2 linked regions of the Arabidopsis thaliana genome follow. The protein of the gene in region 1 interacts with the protein of each later gene in a biochemical or structural test. Each region holds a gene or a part of one and is shown on either strand. Other genes may lie near its edges. The genes, in order: SOS1 and SOS2.

Region 1 (9,826 bases):
TCAGGATCTAAGCGATTTTAGACGTTTAAACCATTTATAATATAAATATTATAAATGTAATTTTATATATAAATATCTAAAAAAAATACATATATTAAATCATAAACAAAAATTAGAAAAAATATTTATTTAACTATATCAAACATTATATGAATCTTTATAACTATTTATATAAATATAAATTTAATTGAAAACTAAAGGTATAAACGATTTTAGGCGAACTACACGATTTTAGACGTCGCATCAGCGTCTTGCGCCTAGGTCCGCCTAAACTGCTTTTTAAAACACTGATTATGTAAATATGAATAAACGAATATTATACGAATTTTGTTTTCAAATTGGCAGATATAGTTTTAAACTTTTACCCAGAAAAAAAAACAAATTTATTACATTACGAGTGATAGATAGGGAAAAGATAACAATTGATCGGTTGAGTGAAAAAAACAACTCGAAAATATAAGCAGAATTGCATATACATTCTAATAACTTTAAATGATTTTCACAACTTTTATCAACATACACTAGCTTATTCTTTCTTTCTTTTTTGCCTATTACTATTATTTTGCTTTTACATTTGAATGAGTAAAACTGTAAGAGTAAGCTAACAATTTTGTTTTCTTATGTTACAAACATCTCAATTCTCATAGATCGTTCCTGAAAACGATTTTACTCGGAGAATCGATTCTCACAACGATTCCTTCATCTTCATCTTCTTCATCGCTTGATTCAACCATCGTATTTTGCCTTGTGCTGCTTTCCCCTTTCAGAGGAAGCTGACACGCATGTTTACGGGTTTCAAGCTGCTTCTTGGTCACAATTGAACTTTCTGATTTGGCTGAAACGAGACCTTGAGCTGGGTTTAGTGGAAGTTTTTTGTACAACAAGTTATCTTGTAACTTGTTATTATAGATCCCACCGAAACTTACACTCCTTCTGTACACATTAACCTATATTCGAGAATATCAGAAGATAAAAACCTTCAGGTTAGTCGAGAAGTTCATCGATAACAACCTTTAAAAGAATCAACATTGAGATCTTTTTTACCATGCTGCCGAAAATGCTGAGTTGCATTGCTCGTTCAGATAAACTTAATGTCGTTTTATTGATCTCTTGTTGTTGTTTGGCGTAAATATTTTCAGGCCAGCTCATGAGACCTCTGTGTTCTTTACGAAATGATCTCTGAAGCTGATCAGAGCTTGAGCTACGTGGTGGTGTTAACGAAGATGGTCTTCGATGTAGAGTCCTATCAGCTCCAAATGCTCCAATGTTGAAGATGATTGCTCTTGCTCTCGTCTCAACAATATACTGTGTTGCTTGTTGTGAGAAACTGACTCTCATGATACCTGTGGTCAAAAAAACAAAACACATTTTTGATTTAATTCGATTTATATCATTCGCTGACATTTAAAAAGGTTTGATCCTGCTGTACTGTGCAATTAATTACCTGAAGCTTCTGATGAATTATGGAAGCTTTGATTCCCGTTAGAAGGTGATAATGCGGCGGGAGATGATATAAGCTCTTCTTTGATACCAACCGGTTTTACGAATCCTTCTAATAATAAACCAATGCTGTTGCAGTCGATTTCGATTGATTCTCCCGTCACATATGTTGTAAGTTTCGAGCTTTCAGTTGAAACAAGGGCTCGTAATTCTTGCATTGCCACACTTTCAAATATCTGAGGACGCAAGAGTTTGAGAAGAACCAATGCACTTTCCTGCAAACAAAAAAAACCGAAAAAAGTTGAAGCAACTTAACAATCAAGAAATGAGTCTCTCTAAAATGGATTCTAATAGAGACGTACCTGCCAAAGGAAATCATCGATGGTAGAATCTGATTGTAGTGATAGAATTTTCTCGCTATCAATGAAAAAGCAAAGAACCATAGAATCTGTAATCAAGTCGCACAGATATGGCTTCCCAGTGAGGACTTCGTAGAGTCCCAATGTACTACCGTGAGAAAAAGTTGGATGCAGCGAGTGATTGTTGCTTAAGATCTTACTTTTCCACTGTAGGATTGTTATAACATTCAGTTATGAAGGTAATAGATCATACAGACTTACGAGTTAAAAGTAAAAGATAAGTTTTGGGTTACCTTAACGATGCCATCAAAAATAAGCCAGACTCCAGTTGGCTTTGAACCTTCTTTATAAAGCGTGACACCACGCAGTTTCATTGGTTCTTTTTTCGAGTGTTTTAAAGGTTCACAAAATGCAGGAGGAAGAGCAACCGATAACGGATGTGAGGTGATCATGTCGCTCAATTTTGGAAGTTTAACTATTGGAGGGTTTCTCAAAAGCTTTTTCAAGCCGGTCTGCAGAGATAGATTTGACCAAAAGCATAAGACAAAAGAGACAAGACTATAGTTGAAGGAATGAGATTCTTTAATTTGGTACCTGGACAGCATCATGAAGATGAGCGATTTCTTTTTCCTCCAACAAGCCAACCTTCTCGAGGTTTTCAATGTAACCGAGTAAATGATTCAACACTGAATATGTTACTTGTTTTGTTTTCACAACACGGAGAACCTGAAACCAATGTTAATCAAAGATTATATGTGCCTCACCGCAAGAAAGATAAGTCACCCGAAAGAAATGACAAGACTCTCAACCTGAGGAAATGAAGATCGGACTTTTTCCAAGAACTTTTTTGCTTCCTCTCCTTCCTTTTCACTTTCATTGATTACAATGGAACCAATATTACTCTCCCCTGTGTAGAGAAGATAGATAAGTATGAGACAAAACTAGGGTTGGGTTAATGTATTGTTCTTACTAAGTTGAGATACTTGCAAACAAAAACTCTGACAATTAATGATGATACGGTACAAGTTTTATTCTTAGTCATTGTTTTCAAAGTGTGATGCAGACTGCAGAGTATGGATTGTACATACCTAGAAAATCATACAATTGCTGTCGTGCAATTGTATGTGCGCGAAGAAACGCAGCAGAAATGTAGCAAGCAGATTCTAGTCTTTCGACAGCAAAGTATGTGACCAACTTGCGTGGGACAACTTTAGAATGAAGAAAGTTGTAGTAATTTGGGAAATTGACATGTGGTTTTAGACCTCTCCAATCACATAAAGTTGTAGAAACCTGATCAAGCGCCTCATCCACTGACTGCATCAAAATATTAGCAGTAACTTCAGATATTCTGCCCTCATCAAGCATCTCCCAGTAAGTTGCTTGCACACCTGACACAACCAATTTTCAAAGTGTCAATAATCTACCAGGTAAAATAGTATATTGGAGGGTACATGATCATAACTACCATTTAAGAACCGCATACGTATGTCCTTTAAACTTTTAGGGTCAAGACTTCCAATTTTAGAGCCATTGTGAGGATGATGAACTAGTTCCCCTTCTGAACCTTTTAGGCTTGAAATATAACTTTCAACTGTAGGCCAGTCAGCAGGTCCTAGCTCCTCATCGTCTCCTAGATCTTGAAACGCTCGTAAGGCCTTATTCAACATTTCGTACTTTGTATATTCCAATATTCGTTTCTGTCAAAAGGAAAGTGGTTTCTAATAAGGTTCTTCGAATACATTACTGACTAGAACATACAGACCCTATTGAACTATACAGCTTAAAGGCTCAGACTCAGGCTAACACGGTCACTTACACATGAATACAAAGCATAAGCAAAAAAATCTCTGTTTACACATATATTTGATTACTTAAAACTCGGAAAGTTATTCGTATGAGAGAAGTTTTTGACCTTGGGGGCTGGTAAAATATCCATGCGAAGAAGGCGTAGAACAAATTGGGTAGTGGATCCATTAACTATCAGAGTTAGGAACACAATTCCACCCGTGAAGAAAAGAAACTGCAAAAGAACTGAGAATATGAAGAGACAAAACAATAATTTGCATAATCATTTTAAGTTGTCAATAACATCTTTAGACTAACTTACCAATGTTCCAGTCTCCTTGCTGATATGTGAATTTCCGCTTGATTGCTGAATCAAATGAGTGCGAGTAAGTCAGCACAGAATCAATGTGGCTGGAAAAAAACATTGTGCAGAAATTTAAGAGAGAAGAACAACTTTAACAGATGTTCTTAAAATTAACCTTCACGGATAAAGAAAGTGCAAGAGCCACTGCGCCCCTCAAACCAGACCATACGAGTATAATGGATTCTTTCCAATCCAAACCATAGCCAAAACGACATAAAAGTGGATATAGAACTCCAACAACAACAACACGCGATAGTTGGATGTAAACGTATAGCAGAAAAAGAAATCGCCATGAATTCCCTGTAAGAAATTTGGGTCGTGAAGAGTTGTTAGATCCAAAATATAAAAAATAGTTAAAGTTAAGTATATCATGTGCCTTATGCAGATATGGTTCCAGAGAAAAAATATATGGTTCCAAGACAGTACATCTCTAACAGGTACTTAATAATAATAACAGACTGGTGAAAGAATACAATTGTCTCAGTCCTAGCACAGTGGTAACTTTCGCTCAATATTTCGTAACCAATAATGCCAGTTTTTTTCTTATTCTTGTAACTGATTCACGTTATGGAATTAGTGATCCTTCGAGAACCAAAGACCATGAACAGTAAGGTGTGTTAACAACGACAGAAAACTATGATAACAGGTGGGAGTCCTATGTAATGACTTAGATCTCATCTTCAATTAACAGTGAACTGTCGAAAATGCAGACAAAACTATGTTCACAAAATTTACTTTAGCTAGGAAAAAAATACTGTACACTATCAACATTAAATAATGGCACCTTGGTAGGCAATCTTATCACTGTCGAGAATGCCTTCAGCAATGACAACACCACTGCAAACATAAAACGAGAAACACAGTCAATATTGCAACACCAGGCTAAAGAGTAGACTGCAGTAAAATAGCTCTTTTTTCTACCCATGAGCTTCTATTTTAGGGTTGGCAAGCACAAGCATGATATGAGTCTATAAAATTTACCCTTACCTGAGGATAAATATCAAAGTGTTTGCAATATATGCAACCATTTCCCTGCACAAGTTACCGGGAAAATTTATATCACACAGATCAACCTTTTACATAGAGTTACAATATAAAAAAACAAGTCCAAATTCCACAAGTTCTGGAAATACCAGAAGTGATGCAAGCTTTTTTGACTGTCACCTTTAAAGGCTGTCCTTGCAAATGCAGCATAAAACCTGTTACAGTTATTTTATGAGAAGAGACTTCTTAAATGATAACAAAAGAAAGGGAAAAAAAAAATAACGAGATCACTGAAATTTACATGCCCAAAGTCATGACCGTCAAAACACCAGAAGCCCCAGCCCACTCTTGAGCCTGTCACACAATAAACTCTCAGTTTTACTACAAAGAGAATATCTTAGCACAGGAATTCAAGGTCTACAGAAAGACGTACAGTGTAGTATGCGAAATAGCTCACTGCAATTGTAAGAGTAATCTCTATTACAGTGTCATTGAATATGAACTTGAGCCAAATAACTGATGCAATGCCAAACGCCAGACCAATGCCTACACTAAATAGACAGAAGAACACGTTGGACTGATAAGAACACAGCAGCAACTTGATATCACTAACAACAGATGAAAAAAGATCAAGACATACGCTCCAAGTGCGACTTTAAGCAGAAATTTGATTATAGAACTCCAGTCAGAGTTTTGCCCCATAGCCATCTTTAAGAATAACTGGAAAACAACAATCGCCGTCCTGGAATTGTTGTTAAAAATCATGAAGAGTGAGCATAAATGTCAAAACTAACCAAACCATGACAGAAGATAACGTCATTTACCCATCATTCATCAGGGATTCCCCTTCAATTATGGTGCTTAGCTTCTTACTAGCACCAAGCTCCTTTAGCAAAGCAACAACAGCAACCGGATCAGTAGCACTTAAAAGTCCCCCAAGCAACAAGGACGTTTTCCAGTCCCATTCATACGGAAACGTGACCTGCATATAGCAAGTATAGTTTCATAACATAATAATCGATTTGTCTTTCTTTGTTTTCAGGACAGCTACTTAATACCAACCAGGCTAATTCATACCTTCACAAGCGATCCAAGACAAGCTGTTGAAATAAGAACTCCAGGGACAGCAAGTAACACCATTTGTCCCAGACACCTCTAAAGAATCATGCAAGTATTCAGTACCTATTTCTCTTAACCTTTAAGCTTAACTAGGAATTAGAGCCAGAGGAATAAACCTTAATTTGGTGAACTTCCATTGAAAACGAACTCTCGAAAAGAAGAGCCGGAAGAAAAACAGCTAAAAGAAGTTCTGGATCGATCTCATTCCCTGCACAATAACATTGATTCTATAGTTCTTACAAAGCCAGCCATGGAAGAGAAGAAAAATTCGAAACTAAAAACTTACAGATACGAATTCCATGGCCGATCTTTCCAAGGTTATGTTTAGCTCCATATTCTGAAACACCAAACAACATGAATTAGCAATTAAGCATGATTACGTTGACTTCAAGGATTAAAACAGATGAAGAAATCAGAAATTCCATGGAACGAAATCGAACCGAGAGATCCAAGAGCAATTCCGATAACGAGAAGAGCGACAGTGTAAGGAACCCTAGTTCCACGAAGCAAGTGCCTAGAAGCAATACCGAGTACCAGAGACATTCCGACGAAGAGAACGGCGTCGACAGGGCTAGATTCTAGTTTGGAAGAAGAAGAAGAAGAAGACGAATCGGTCGCTTCCTCCAGAAATCTATACGCCATCGTCGCGTCGATTACAGTCGTCATTTTATTTGAATATATCTAAGAAGCAACAACACAGAGGAAGAAGAAGAATGCTCGTTCACTGAAAAAATAAATAGCTGAAAGAGAGTAAATACTTATAGAGCTATACATACACACGTGTATAGTACTGTAGTGTTAAATTAAAATTAAATTTTACTATTAATTTTGTTTATGATAACATTATCATATTTTTCTGCTATATATTTTTCACAATTTTCAGCCGACCAATTCTTCAATGTTTATATTTTTTCTGACCAAGAGTATATTAGAACCAGAATTAGATAAATTAATGGAAATATAATGATGACAAAAAAATAATATAAATATAATATATAGTTTGTTTTGGATTTTATAGATTGATGTCATATAGATGTGAATGTGACTATGGTATCTTCACAATGAAATTAGTGCTTAATTTGTGTACAAGAATTTATTGAAATTGAGTTTATTTGTAATAAGTATTCCAAAACCTGGTTTGGCCTTAAAAGGAAAAGAAATATTCGTAGTTGGTTTTTTGACATTTTGGGACATATTTTTCTTATGATTTAATTGATAAGACCTCTTACTGTTGTACTTTTTTGAATAAACAATTGCAAATGTAAATTGGCTATTTTAGAATTAGACGACTAGCCTACCAAAAATACATTTATAATGTGGATTTTGATATGTGTGTGAGTGTGTTTACTTCGTGGAGTTTGATGTGTTTAAGGTTTCGAAAATATTTGAGAATTTGGATTAGCCTGACTCTATTCGGCTGATCCAAAACATTAATCTGATACCTTTCAATTCTTCACGTTAAATTTATAATATTTTTTAAACTTTCAATTATGCTTAGCTGATGCACAACAACATTTTCAATTTCGCATATCAGAATAACACCAATTATCATTTTCATGCTACCCAGAAGCACCTACAAGGTATCAAGTGTGCATGTTAAAAGACTGTTTGGGTTAGTATTGATTAATCGACCAACCGTCGATCCTAATGAAATGCTCAAAGATAGAATCCAACATAAAGAATCTCTATTGGTATTCAAGATTTGCTTATAGAGTAGTGATTGTTAGTTAGTTAGTTTGTTATTCTTTGATTTTCCAATCAGCTTACGAAGATTTTTCAAGAGTAGAGATGCTAACAACATGCATAATAATTTGTCTAATGGTAAATTCTACAATAGGAAAAGAGTTTACATTGATTACTCTATCATTAGTAGTTCAGGGGATAGTAGATGTTTGTTTTGTTCTAAGGCTTATGTTTATGCTCTGGAAAACTGGTTCCAGGCGAGAAGATTCAGAGAGAACTCGTTGATGGATTACATATCATGGTCGCTGATGAGTGTATGATTCGCCACCACCATCAAAGAAGGTGCAAAATCAATAAGTATCAGAGCTGTTACAAAAATAAACTTTATAAATAAATAAAATTATTGTCTGTGTAATTAACATCTTAATTTTATAGTGTTCTTATTTATCTGGTTTGGTTGCAAAAAATTGAGTTTAGTTAAGATAATCAGGTATATAAATTACTACATCATTCATTTTATGTACAAAAAATTTGGTTTATATTCCAATTGATAATACTTTTTACTTGCTTTGCTTTAATCAATTTCATAAACGAGATACTATTGTGAAAAAAAAAAACGAGGCACTATTGATCTTTTTTCTTTTGACCACCTTTTTATTTGTATCTTCATCATCATGATTTTGTTAAAGAGTAAAAAGAACATTACTGATTGTTATAGTCACATGGAATGCAATAAAACTCCTATAAATAGTAGAAAGCACAAGAACGAGAGAATCACTCTACCAATAGAAAATTGCTACTTATTAAAAAAAAAACGACAATTGTAACAAAAAATATCGATTATAGAAAGTTTTATTTGCTTCAGTTTATATCACTTGCCTCTGCCATTCACAAGTTTCTTACGAAACGTATTAAATAATTTAAAATTTTGTGAATTAATACGAATTTTGTTTAGAAGATTTAAGAAAACAACCAAAAATAAAATATATAAAAATAATCATTTCAATTTCTAAAAAAAATATTAAAATGTCGCAGATTTTATTTTCTTACATAATGCTTTTTATTCGCAATATTTTTTCTTAAGCATTTAGTAGAAGAAAATTCGTTAAAAAGAGAGATAAAATAAATAAAAGTAATATAATCGTCCTTTTGCCATAAGCGTTGCTCTCAAAAATATAAAGCAAACTCAGATCTCACGATTTTCTTCTTCCTCTCACATTAACACACATCATCATGAGATTACCAACGACGCTGCTCCTCTTTATCGGAGCTCTCATCTTCTCCGGCGCCGGTACTGTCAGATCCGATGCCTCCGACCACCGTTACAAGGACGGTGACTCCGTTCCTCTCTACGCCAACAAGGTCGGCCCCTTTCACAATCCCAGGTAAATCCAATTCTCTAATCTCAGTTCCTTTGTCGGTAGCTTAGATCTGTGATTCTCTTTGATGAGTGATAAATTGATCGTTGCAAATTTCTGTAGAAGCTTGCGTTGGTATTGAATTTTTGTATCTGACCTTGAAAAAATTCGATTCGTGTTCTTAAAATGTGATAGATCTTCGATTGCATTGTTATATGACTGATTTTTACTTGTGTTTGATGATTGTTGCAGTGAGACGTATCGCTATTTCGATCTCCCCTTTTGTATTCCAGGTACGAGCACGCTCAATGTTGTCTCTGTTATGTGTGGTTTTTCACTTTTTTCGGATTTGTGTATTTTGGTGTCAATATGCATTTGTTTTGGTTTGTGTAGAGGGTGTGAAAGATAAGAAGGAAGCTCTTGGTGAGGTTTTGAATGGGGATAGGCTTGTTAGTGCTCCATACAAGCTTAACTTTAGAGATGAGAAAGACTCAGAGGTGTACTGTAAAAAGAAGCTTAGTAGAGAAGAAGTTGAACACTTTCGAAGAGCTGTTGAAAAAGATTATTACTTTCAGATGTATTATGATGATTTGCCTATTTGGGGATTCATTGGGAAGGTGGACAAAGAGAGCAAATCTGATCCTAGCGAGTTTAAATATTTTCTCTACAAACACATCCAGTTTGAGATTTTGTACAATAAGGATCGGGTGATTGAAATCAATGCTAGAATGGAT
Region 2 (7,993 bases), on another chromosome or scaffold:
GGGAAATTATGGATTTACGTTTTTGGCGGGAAAATCTCGGGTTTACGTTTTTGGTGGGAAAATTACGGGTTTACGTTTTTGGCGAGAAAATTATGGATTTACGTTTTTGGCGGGAAAATCTCGGGTTTACGTTTTTGGCGGGAAAATCTCGGGTTTACGTTTTTGGCGGGAAAATCTCGTGTTTACGTTTTTGGCGGGAAAATCTCGGGTTTACGTTTTTTGCGAGAAAATCACGGGTTTACTTTTTTTTGCGGGAAAATCACGGATTTATGTTTTTTGGTGGAAAAATTACGAGTTTACTTTTTCTCAATTTCATTGCTTGTATATTTAAGAAATTTGGAAAAATATTAATTTTATTAAATTGGTTTAGATGTGTTGGTTAAACCTAAATTGGCATTGGTTTAGAGATTTTAGTTGGTTTTATTCAATTTTACAAAATTTGATGGGTTAATTGGATAAACCATGGAAACCATTAACCATTACAACCTAACTCATTTTACTCATCAAACCAATTGACTCATCAACTCATTTGACTCATCAACTCATTTGAGTCAAAAATTTCAACTCATTAGGGTTCATGGGTTGAGTTGAGTTGAGTTGACCCATGAATTTTGACCCATTTTGACACCCCTACATATGATCATAAGTTAATAATCAAAAATTACTATTGATAACTTTTTAACGGAATTGTTTTGTAAGTTTCATTTACGTTATTTATATAAAAAAACATAATGCAAAAGTACTAATGTATAGTTATTTTTATTTTTAATAATGCAAAAATATTACTGTAATACTTTTTCATTCTTATCAATATTTTTTCTTATATTCAATTAGCCACCAACACCTACATTTCATATTTCTCTTCACATTCATTATTTTCTTGCTCTTGTATTCCTTCTTATCATCTTCATTGCCAATTTTTCATTGACATTGTCATCGTTACTTTGTATGTATGATTTTTGAACATTTAATGTGAATCCCAACCGACTATAGGACTATCAAGAAGTTTTCAAACTTTTTAAAAAAGATCTTGAACCTTTAAAGCAAATCCCAACCGACTATAGAACCATAGTCCTCTTCCTTGTTGATGAAGCTCTTCTCGTGCCGGCGAAAATCTAGGCCATAAAAGCCTCTTCAACATCACCTAGTATATTGACCGTGACCATCTTTTTGACCATTGCTTTGTGAATGAACCGTCGATAAACCGTGTTATCACTTACGCCAAATTTTTCCCTAGTGTTTGTTTCCAAACTCTCACGAATCCTTATCGAACTTTTTTATATATCACTTTGTAGCATTGGAAAGTATCTTTGTATGCTTTGTCTTAAACTTAGACATCCTTGTTCTCTTGGTTTTTTTGAACCTTGCTTGACTTAAATGAAGTTAAAAATTTGTAGTTAAAAATAGAAAATTTTACTAATTTGAGTTCGATTAATCATAGTCTAGATAATTTGAAAAAAATTAAAATAAATTTTGAAAATACTATATGTTTATTTTTTAAAAATAATTTACTAAATTGATAAGTGATATTAGATTAGTTTTTTTTTTCTTTTTTAAATTTTGAAAACCTCACAATTATTAAATTGAAAGATTCAAAATGCAATGTTAGTTTTTAAAAGTTTAATCACCCAAACGGATAATTGACCCGAACGACTAATTCAGGTCGTATACGGGTACAGTCAAATAACCCGACCCGAAATGCTCAACGGATCTGCACGGACGTTCGCATCGACGATTCACGGCTTTCGCGAATCGCATCACGAGCCTTCCTTCTCTCCTACGCCTCTTTCATCAACCCTTCTCTGCGAATCCAATTCTGGTATTTCACGATTCTCTTTCGACTACGCCCAATCGCAATTCCAGCCGTACGAATTTTATATATTGATTATGATCTTGATCCTTACCTTTTCGTCGTTTCCTTGATCGAATTTATGTTGATTTATGCTGCGAAATCAAAATTATGGATACAGAGTAATTTTGTATATATGGATGTGTAGGAGCTAAAATTAGCAAACAATACGTAAAGTAATTGAAATCGAAATCATAAACGTTTAAGGAAAGAGGTTTTTACTAAGTCTCTGAATAATCTGATTGATAGCTTGTGGTCAATGGATCAGATAAAAGTTTGTAAAGAATGACAAAGAAAATGAGAAGAGTGGGCAAGTACGAGGTTGGTCGCACAATAGGTGAAGGAACCTTTGCTAAGGTTAAGTTTGCGAGGAACACAGACACTGGTGATAATGTAGCCATCAAAATTATGGCTAAGAGTACAATACTTAAGAACAGAATGGTTGATCAGGTATGTTCTGGATTGTTTTTTACATGGAAACTAAGGTTGTTGCGTCAATGGTATGATCTTTGATTTCGTTTAAAGCTCTTTTACAGATAAAAAGAGAGATATCTATAATGAAGATTGTTCGTCACCCGAACATAGTGAGGTTGTATGAGGTATGTTTGTTTGTTTCCATGCATCTGCGAAATTTTATCTCTGAAGTGTTTTTGCATCATTGTTCTTCTGTTGTTTTTTTGTGATTTTCCCGATGTAGGTGTTGGCGAGTCCTTCGAAAATATATATAGTTTTGGAGTTTGTGACAGGAGGAGAGCTCTTTGATAGAATTGTACGGAACTTCCATACTTGTAGGCAGCGTCCATTAGTTAAAACCTCTCTACTTAATTTTTTAATATATGAAATCTTTCATGCAGGTTCATAAAGGGAGGCTTGAAGAAAGTGAGTCTCGGAAATACTTTCAACAGCTTGTAGATGCTGTTGCTCATTGTCACTGCAAGGGTGTTTACCACCGTGACCTAAAGGTAAAGACGTGTTTTTGTTTACCAATATTCCTCAGAATATCTCACTGCGTTGCAATCCAGACTTGATATTTTTGTGTCGCTATGTTATGTTATCTAGCCAGAAAATCTTTTACTCGATACAAATGGAAATCTGAAGGTTTCGGATTTCGGACTCAGTGCATTGCCTCAGGAAGTAAGTGCTCTTATCTCTGCTTCAGCAGTCTGCTTACGTGGTCATTAACTTGTTATATACTCAATCAGGGAGTAGAACTTCTGCGTACCACATGTGGAACTCCGAACTATGTAGCTCCAGAGGTACTTAGTGGACAGGGTTACGATGGTTCAGCAGCTGATATTTGGTCTTGCGGGGTTATTCTTTTCGTTATATTGGCTGGATATTTACCTTTTTCCGAGACGGATCTTCCAGGGTTGTACAGAAAAGTAAGTAACATATCTTTCGGGAAGAAATCATGAATTCCTTGTCATGGCTTTTGTCAAACCGTTTATTGATTTGGTTTTGCAATTTCACCCTTAGTTTTGAGCTTTTACACATTGTTATTTACAGATAAATGCAGCAGAGTTTTCTTGTCCACCGTGGTTTTCCGCAGAAGTGAAGTTTTTAATACATAGGATACTTGACCCCAATCCCAAAACAGTGAGTATTTTGCTTTGTTCTCTCCTAGCTATCAGGTTTTGGTGATATTTAATGTTCTAGTAATTATATCTGTTTATCTATTATTGTTTCTCAATTAGAGCAGCGTATTCAAATTCAAGGAATCAAGAAAGATCCTTGGTTCAGATTAAATTATGTGCCTATACGAGCAAGGGAAGAAGAAGAAGTGAATTTGGATGATATTCGTGCAGTTTTTGATGGAATTGAGGTTTGTGCTTCGCCTTCATTATATGCTCTTTGCTGGTCAATTCCATTTAAATGTTAAGATCTCTTAGGAACGTTTGGATGACCAAGAAGAAGTGTTTGCTACAGGATAGAACAAAATAGTAGGCATGTGTTAGTTACCAAACCTGTAAACTGCTTCTTTATTCAATTCGCCAAACCATAGACCTTAGGAAGACTTAGATTTACAAGAGAATTCTCTATTCTCGACCAAAAACCCTAGACAAAATCCAGAATACCCCTAGGGCTAATTACAATGTTCATGTACCTATCAATATATATCTCCTGCTAAGATTGTCTTAGCTTTGGTATAGCCTAGATATATATAGATACCGTAATTTCTAATGCATATTTAGAATGTTTTACTTAAACTCAGGCTCTTGCTCTTCTAAAACTTGTACTTCAATTGTTAAACTAAAACCTCAGTATCTGTCTTAGCTAAAGTTACTTTTACTTGTTTTTCATTAAGTTGACCTGTCAATTGCACTTGTTCACAGGGCAGTTATGTAGCGGAGAATGTAGAGAGAAATGATGAAGGGCCCCTGATGATGAATGCCTTTGAGATGATTACCTTATCACAAGGCTTAAATTTATCTGCACTATTTGACAGGCGACAGGTAGTACCTGATTTTCTATTACTGGTCATAGAGATCTCCATTTCGAATAAAAGAATGTCGGTAGCATCTATTCTTCAGACTGCCCGTTTTGACTGCCTTATGATGCTGTGTTCTTAGTTTGTTATAATAACTATAAGTTCATTAGATGATTGGTTGCATGGCATTAGTAGATACAAATGGAATCCAAAATGTTCCTGCATATTGATGGCTGATCCTTTGATCTCGCAGGATTTTGTTAAAAGGCAAACCCGTTTTGTTTCTCGAAGGGAACCTAGTGAGATAATTGCTAACATTGAGGCTGTAGCGAACTCAATGGGTTTTAAGTCTCATACACGAAACTTCAAGGTAACGAATTCCTAGCATATTACACTTATCACAGAGATTATGCATTATTTTAAAACTCTCAACTGTTAAACGCATGTGTAGATAGATTGATAAGATTGACAAGGAAACTTAGTTTATATCTCTGGCGTTCAAAAACGAAAGTCCTAGTGTGAATTATCATTTTTAATGTTAGCAGAGAGTACAATTGTTATGATTTGTTACGTCTATGTGCTCAACAGACAAGGCTCGAGGGATTATCTTCGATCAAGGCCGGACAGTTAGCTGTTGTGATAGAGGTAATTATTGCTTGTTGTGATTGTAATATAAGTTTGCTTTGCTTCAGTTTAAGGGTATCTAGCAAATTGAAATTAACCTACATGCAGATTTACGAGGTGGCACCATCGCTTTTCATGGTAGACGTAAGAAAGGCTGCTGGTGAAACTCTTGAATATCACAAGGTTTATAAATATATATCCAATAACAATAGTTGCATCATTACTGTGTTGCGGATTAGAGTGATATTTTGTTTTGTGGTATCGCAGTTCTACAAGAAGCTATGTTCGAAACTGGAAAACATAATATGGAGGGCAACAGAAGGAATACCAAAGTCAGAGATTCTCAGAACAATCACGTTTTGATCCCAACTTAAATCCAATAAAAATGTACACTTGTGTAATAAATGACCTAATTATTCTTCAGGGAGATTGGAAGATTTGCTTCTTGAGCTAGTATTCTAATTTGATTGTGTCTTGTAGTTTGCTTTGGCCATTGGTTTGGATCCCTCTGTTCTCTGTGTATGGCAATACTTCTCAAAACTTGTCCTGCGAAGACATGTACTAACAAAACACATCCAATATGAGTTTGCTTACTAGACTACATGAGCTTTATGCCTTTATTTAGTCAAGACTATACGAGTTTAAGCTAGGCAGAGCATTTGGTTTGGATTCTTTCGATAGGGTTTTGTCGGGTTTTTTTTTGGGATTAGAGAAATTCTACCCAAATTAATTAAACTAAATTATGGTTCTTTTTGGTTATATTTTACTATATAAACCTTGATTTTTAAAGTCGCTAACTCATATGATCATGATACATGTAATATCATTTCATAACACAAACATCAATTCATACATAACACAAGTCTCAATCTAATACTCAAATTAATATCGTTATTTTTGTTGGTGTCGAATCTCGAACTATGTGTTCGGATCCATCCGAAGCTTGCCACCTAAAAGTCAACAAGACAACGGTCAACGGGACATGCTCTCGACCGAAGCCCATAGTTGAAGCCGAGCGAACCGAAGAGTTTGTACAACGGAGCGAAAAGGAGATGAGTTTGAGAATGGGTAACGGGCCGAGCATTCGGAGGCCCATGAAGGGTTCAAAGGAATTCAAATGAAGACGTTACAACATTGATTAGAGAATCAAAGCGAACACTTTTAAGAGCGCTTAGTACATTAATTAACAAATTAATGTAAATTATAAATATGAGTCCCTTAAAGCATAAGGGGGTACATTGATTTCTTTCTAAATATCTAATATTATACTATTTTATCTTCATATCTTTGCATGCATTTTGATAATATATACAAAGTACAGTATATACACTTGTATTATTTTTTTAAAAACTAGATGAACATACATGCATGGGTTTTTGTTTTTAAAATTGTTGGAAAAAATTTTGGTTATGGTTTTTTGTTGATTTTGATATTCATTTTTTTTTTTCCTTCTAAAACCTTTATTAGTGACGAGTGTCATAATCATTGTTTACAAGAGACATCAAAAATACAGGACAAGAATGATACAAAAGACCAGAGATTTGGACCTAAAATAGCTTTTTTCGCTAATAGATCGGCACAGGCATTTTGTTCACGATGGGTGAAACAGAATTTCGAGTTTATGAAACCACTTCTCCAATGTTGTATTGTCCCCATGTAGTGTTTGAGTCGAAGATGAGCACCGTACGTATTAATAACTTGGTTGATGGTTTTATTATCCCCTTCGAATATTACGTTTCGGTATCCTAATCCCCACGCAGCCTGTATTGCCCAGATAAGTGATGTACATTCAGCTTCTTCTATCGTATTTCGTCCTTCAAATTGTCCCATACCACAGTCCAACACAAAGCCATTGGAATCACGAATTATCCAACCAAGTCCTGAGGCTCCAGCTCCTTCATGATGCGACGCATCATAATTACATTTCACCCATCCCCTAGGTGGTGGTAGCCAGTTATCTCTTCTTGTTCTCTGTGTGTGAGGAGCCGGAATTGTGTTCACTTGTTTAATGACATTCTCAATCCACTCCTGAGTGTCCGTTGTTGCCAGTTCGAGCGTCTCCCGTGCCGGAATAAGCTTTTTGTTGAATATTAGATCATTACGGCATTTCCATAATCTCCACATAATCCAAAAAGGGAGGTACCTGTGTAATTCATCGACATTCCTATCGTCGTGAATCCTAAAGAGGTACCTTAATTTGTCTTCCAGGGGTGTTTGCGAGTTACATGGTATGGTGGTGTCTAGGCAAGTGGTCCTCCATACCGCTTCCGCATGCGGACAGGAAAAAAAGATGTGATTCCCTGTTTCAGCTTCCGTGCAACAGTGTGCACGGTATGGATTGATGATGATGTTCCGTCGCCTTAGGTTATCGGCAACCCCGAGAGCAAGCGAAGCTGTCCTCCACAAGAAATGCTTCAATTTGGGGACAATGTTTAGTTTCCATAAACGGTCGGCAATATCAGGGTGTGAAGATAGCGGCAGAGTGATAGGTGGCTCACTTGTGCTCTTTGTTGCTGCTACCCAATATCCTGATTTGACAGTGTAGCAGCAATCCTTTGTAAAGCTCCACACATATGAGTCATGTGCTGGTATAAGGGGTACATATATTTTCCGGATAATTGGATGGTCAATCGGATCGATTAGTGCGGTGAGTTTCTGTTCATCTCATTGAGATGTAGTCGGACAGAGTAAAGCCAAAACCGTTGTTTTCGGGTCCGTCGTTGCTAATAACAGAGGTGGCCGGGGTAGAGTGGTTGGTAGTCACGGCTCATTGCCCACTTGGGTTGTGTAACCATCTCCAATGTTCTTCTGTGTCCCGAGATTCAACAATTCACATCCAAACCGAAGGGAACTCCATCCATAAGACGGTCTCGTGCCTCGTGACGCACTAAGGAAATTCCCATGTCGAAAGTATCTGGCTTTAAGCATTCTATAGAGCAGACTTTGTGGTCTTTGTAGCAGTTTCCATACCTGGCTTGCAAGTAGTGCTTGGTTGAATTGGTACAGGTCTCGGAATCCTAAACCCCCTTCTCTCTTTGGTCTTGTCATTTTTTTCCAGGAAACCCATGACAGTTTCTTTTTTGTTGCCGTAG

What was found.
Region 2: of the proteins of SOS1 (region 1) and SOS2, one has a biochemical effect on the other in vitro, tested with the Arabidopsis thaliana proteins (one study listed by BioGRID).

What each region holds. Positions count from the first base shown.
Region 1 is NC_003071.7:453,961-463,786, reverse strand, and holds SOS1 (sodium proton exchanger, putative (NHX7) (SOS1)), read right to left. Parts: upstream 6,786-9,826; 5' UTR 6,718-6,785; coding exon 6,492-6,717; intron 6,389-6,491; coding exon 6,338-6,388; intron 6,260-6,337; coding exon 6,168-6,259; intron 6,088-6,167; coding exon 6,010-6,087; intron 5,915-6,009; coding exon 5,757-5,914; intron 5,675-5,756; coding exon 5,573-5,674; intron 5,484-5,572; coding exon 5,366-5,483; intron 5,287-5,365; coding exon 5,234-5,286; intron 5,148-5,233; coding exon 5,082-5,147; intron 4,981-5,081; coding exon 4,936-4,980; intron 4,786-4,935; coding exon 4,733-4,785; intron 4,249-4,732; coding exon 4,064-4,248; intron 3,952-4,063; coding exon 3,907-3,951; intron 3,820-3,906; coding exon 3,712-3,819; intron 3,497-3,711; coding exon 3,265-3,496; intron 3,188-3,264; coding exon 2,888-3,187; intron 2,707-2,887; coding exon 2,609-2,706; intron 2,526-2,608; coding exon 2,394-2,525; intron 2,312-2,393; coding exon 2,093-2,311; intron 2,007-2,092; and 9 more. Other genes in the region: AT2G01970 (Endomembrane protein 70 protein family), read left to right, coding at 8,968-9,119, 9,345-9,385, 9,486-9,826. UniProt on the Arabidopsis thaliana protein: Acts in electroneutral exchange of protons for cations such as Na(+) or Li(+) across plasma membrane. Involved in Na(+) and K(+) homeostasis.
Region 2 is NC_003076.8:13,632,799-13,640,791, forward strand, and holds SOS2 (Protein kinase superfamily protein), read left to right. Parts: upstream 1-1,600; 5' UTR 1,601-1,819; intron 1,820-2,117; 5' UTR 2,118-2,134; coding exon 2,135-2,299; intron 2,300-2,385; coding exon 2,386-2,448; intron 2,449-2,546; coding exon 2,547-2,618; intron 2,619-2,703; coding exon 2,704-2,811; intron 2,812-2,908; coding exon 2,909-2,983; intron 2,984-3,051; coding exon 3,052-3,231; intron 3,232-3,355; coding exon 3,356-3,445; intron 3,446-3,548; coding exon 3,549-3,671; intron 3,672-4,182; coding exon 4,183-4,302; intron 4,303-4,530; coding exon 4,531-4,647; coding exon of another isoform or gene 4,648-4,662; exon of another isoform or gene 4,663-4,865; coding exon 4,866-4,922; intron 4,923-5,009; coding exon 5,010-5,084; intron 5,085-5,168; coding exon 5,169-5,264; 3' UTR 5,265-5,577; downstream 5,578-7,993. UniProt on the Arabidopsis thaliana protein: Involved in the regulatory pathway for the control of intracellular Na(+) and K(+) homeostasis and salt tolerance.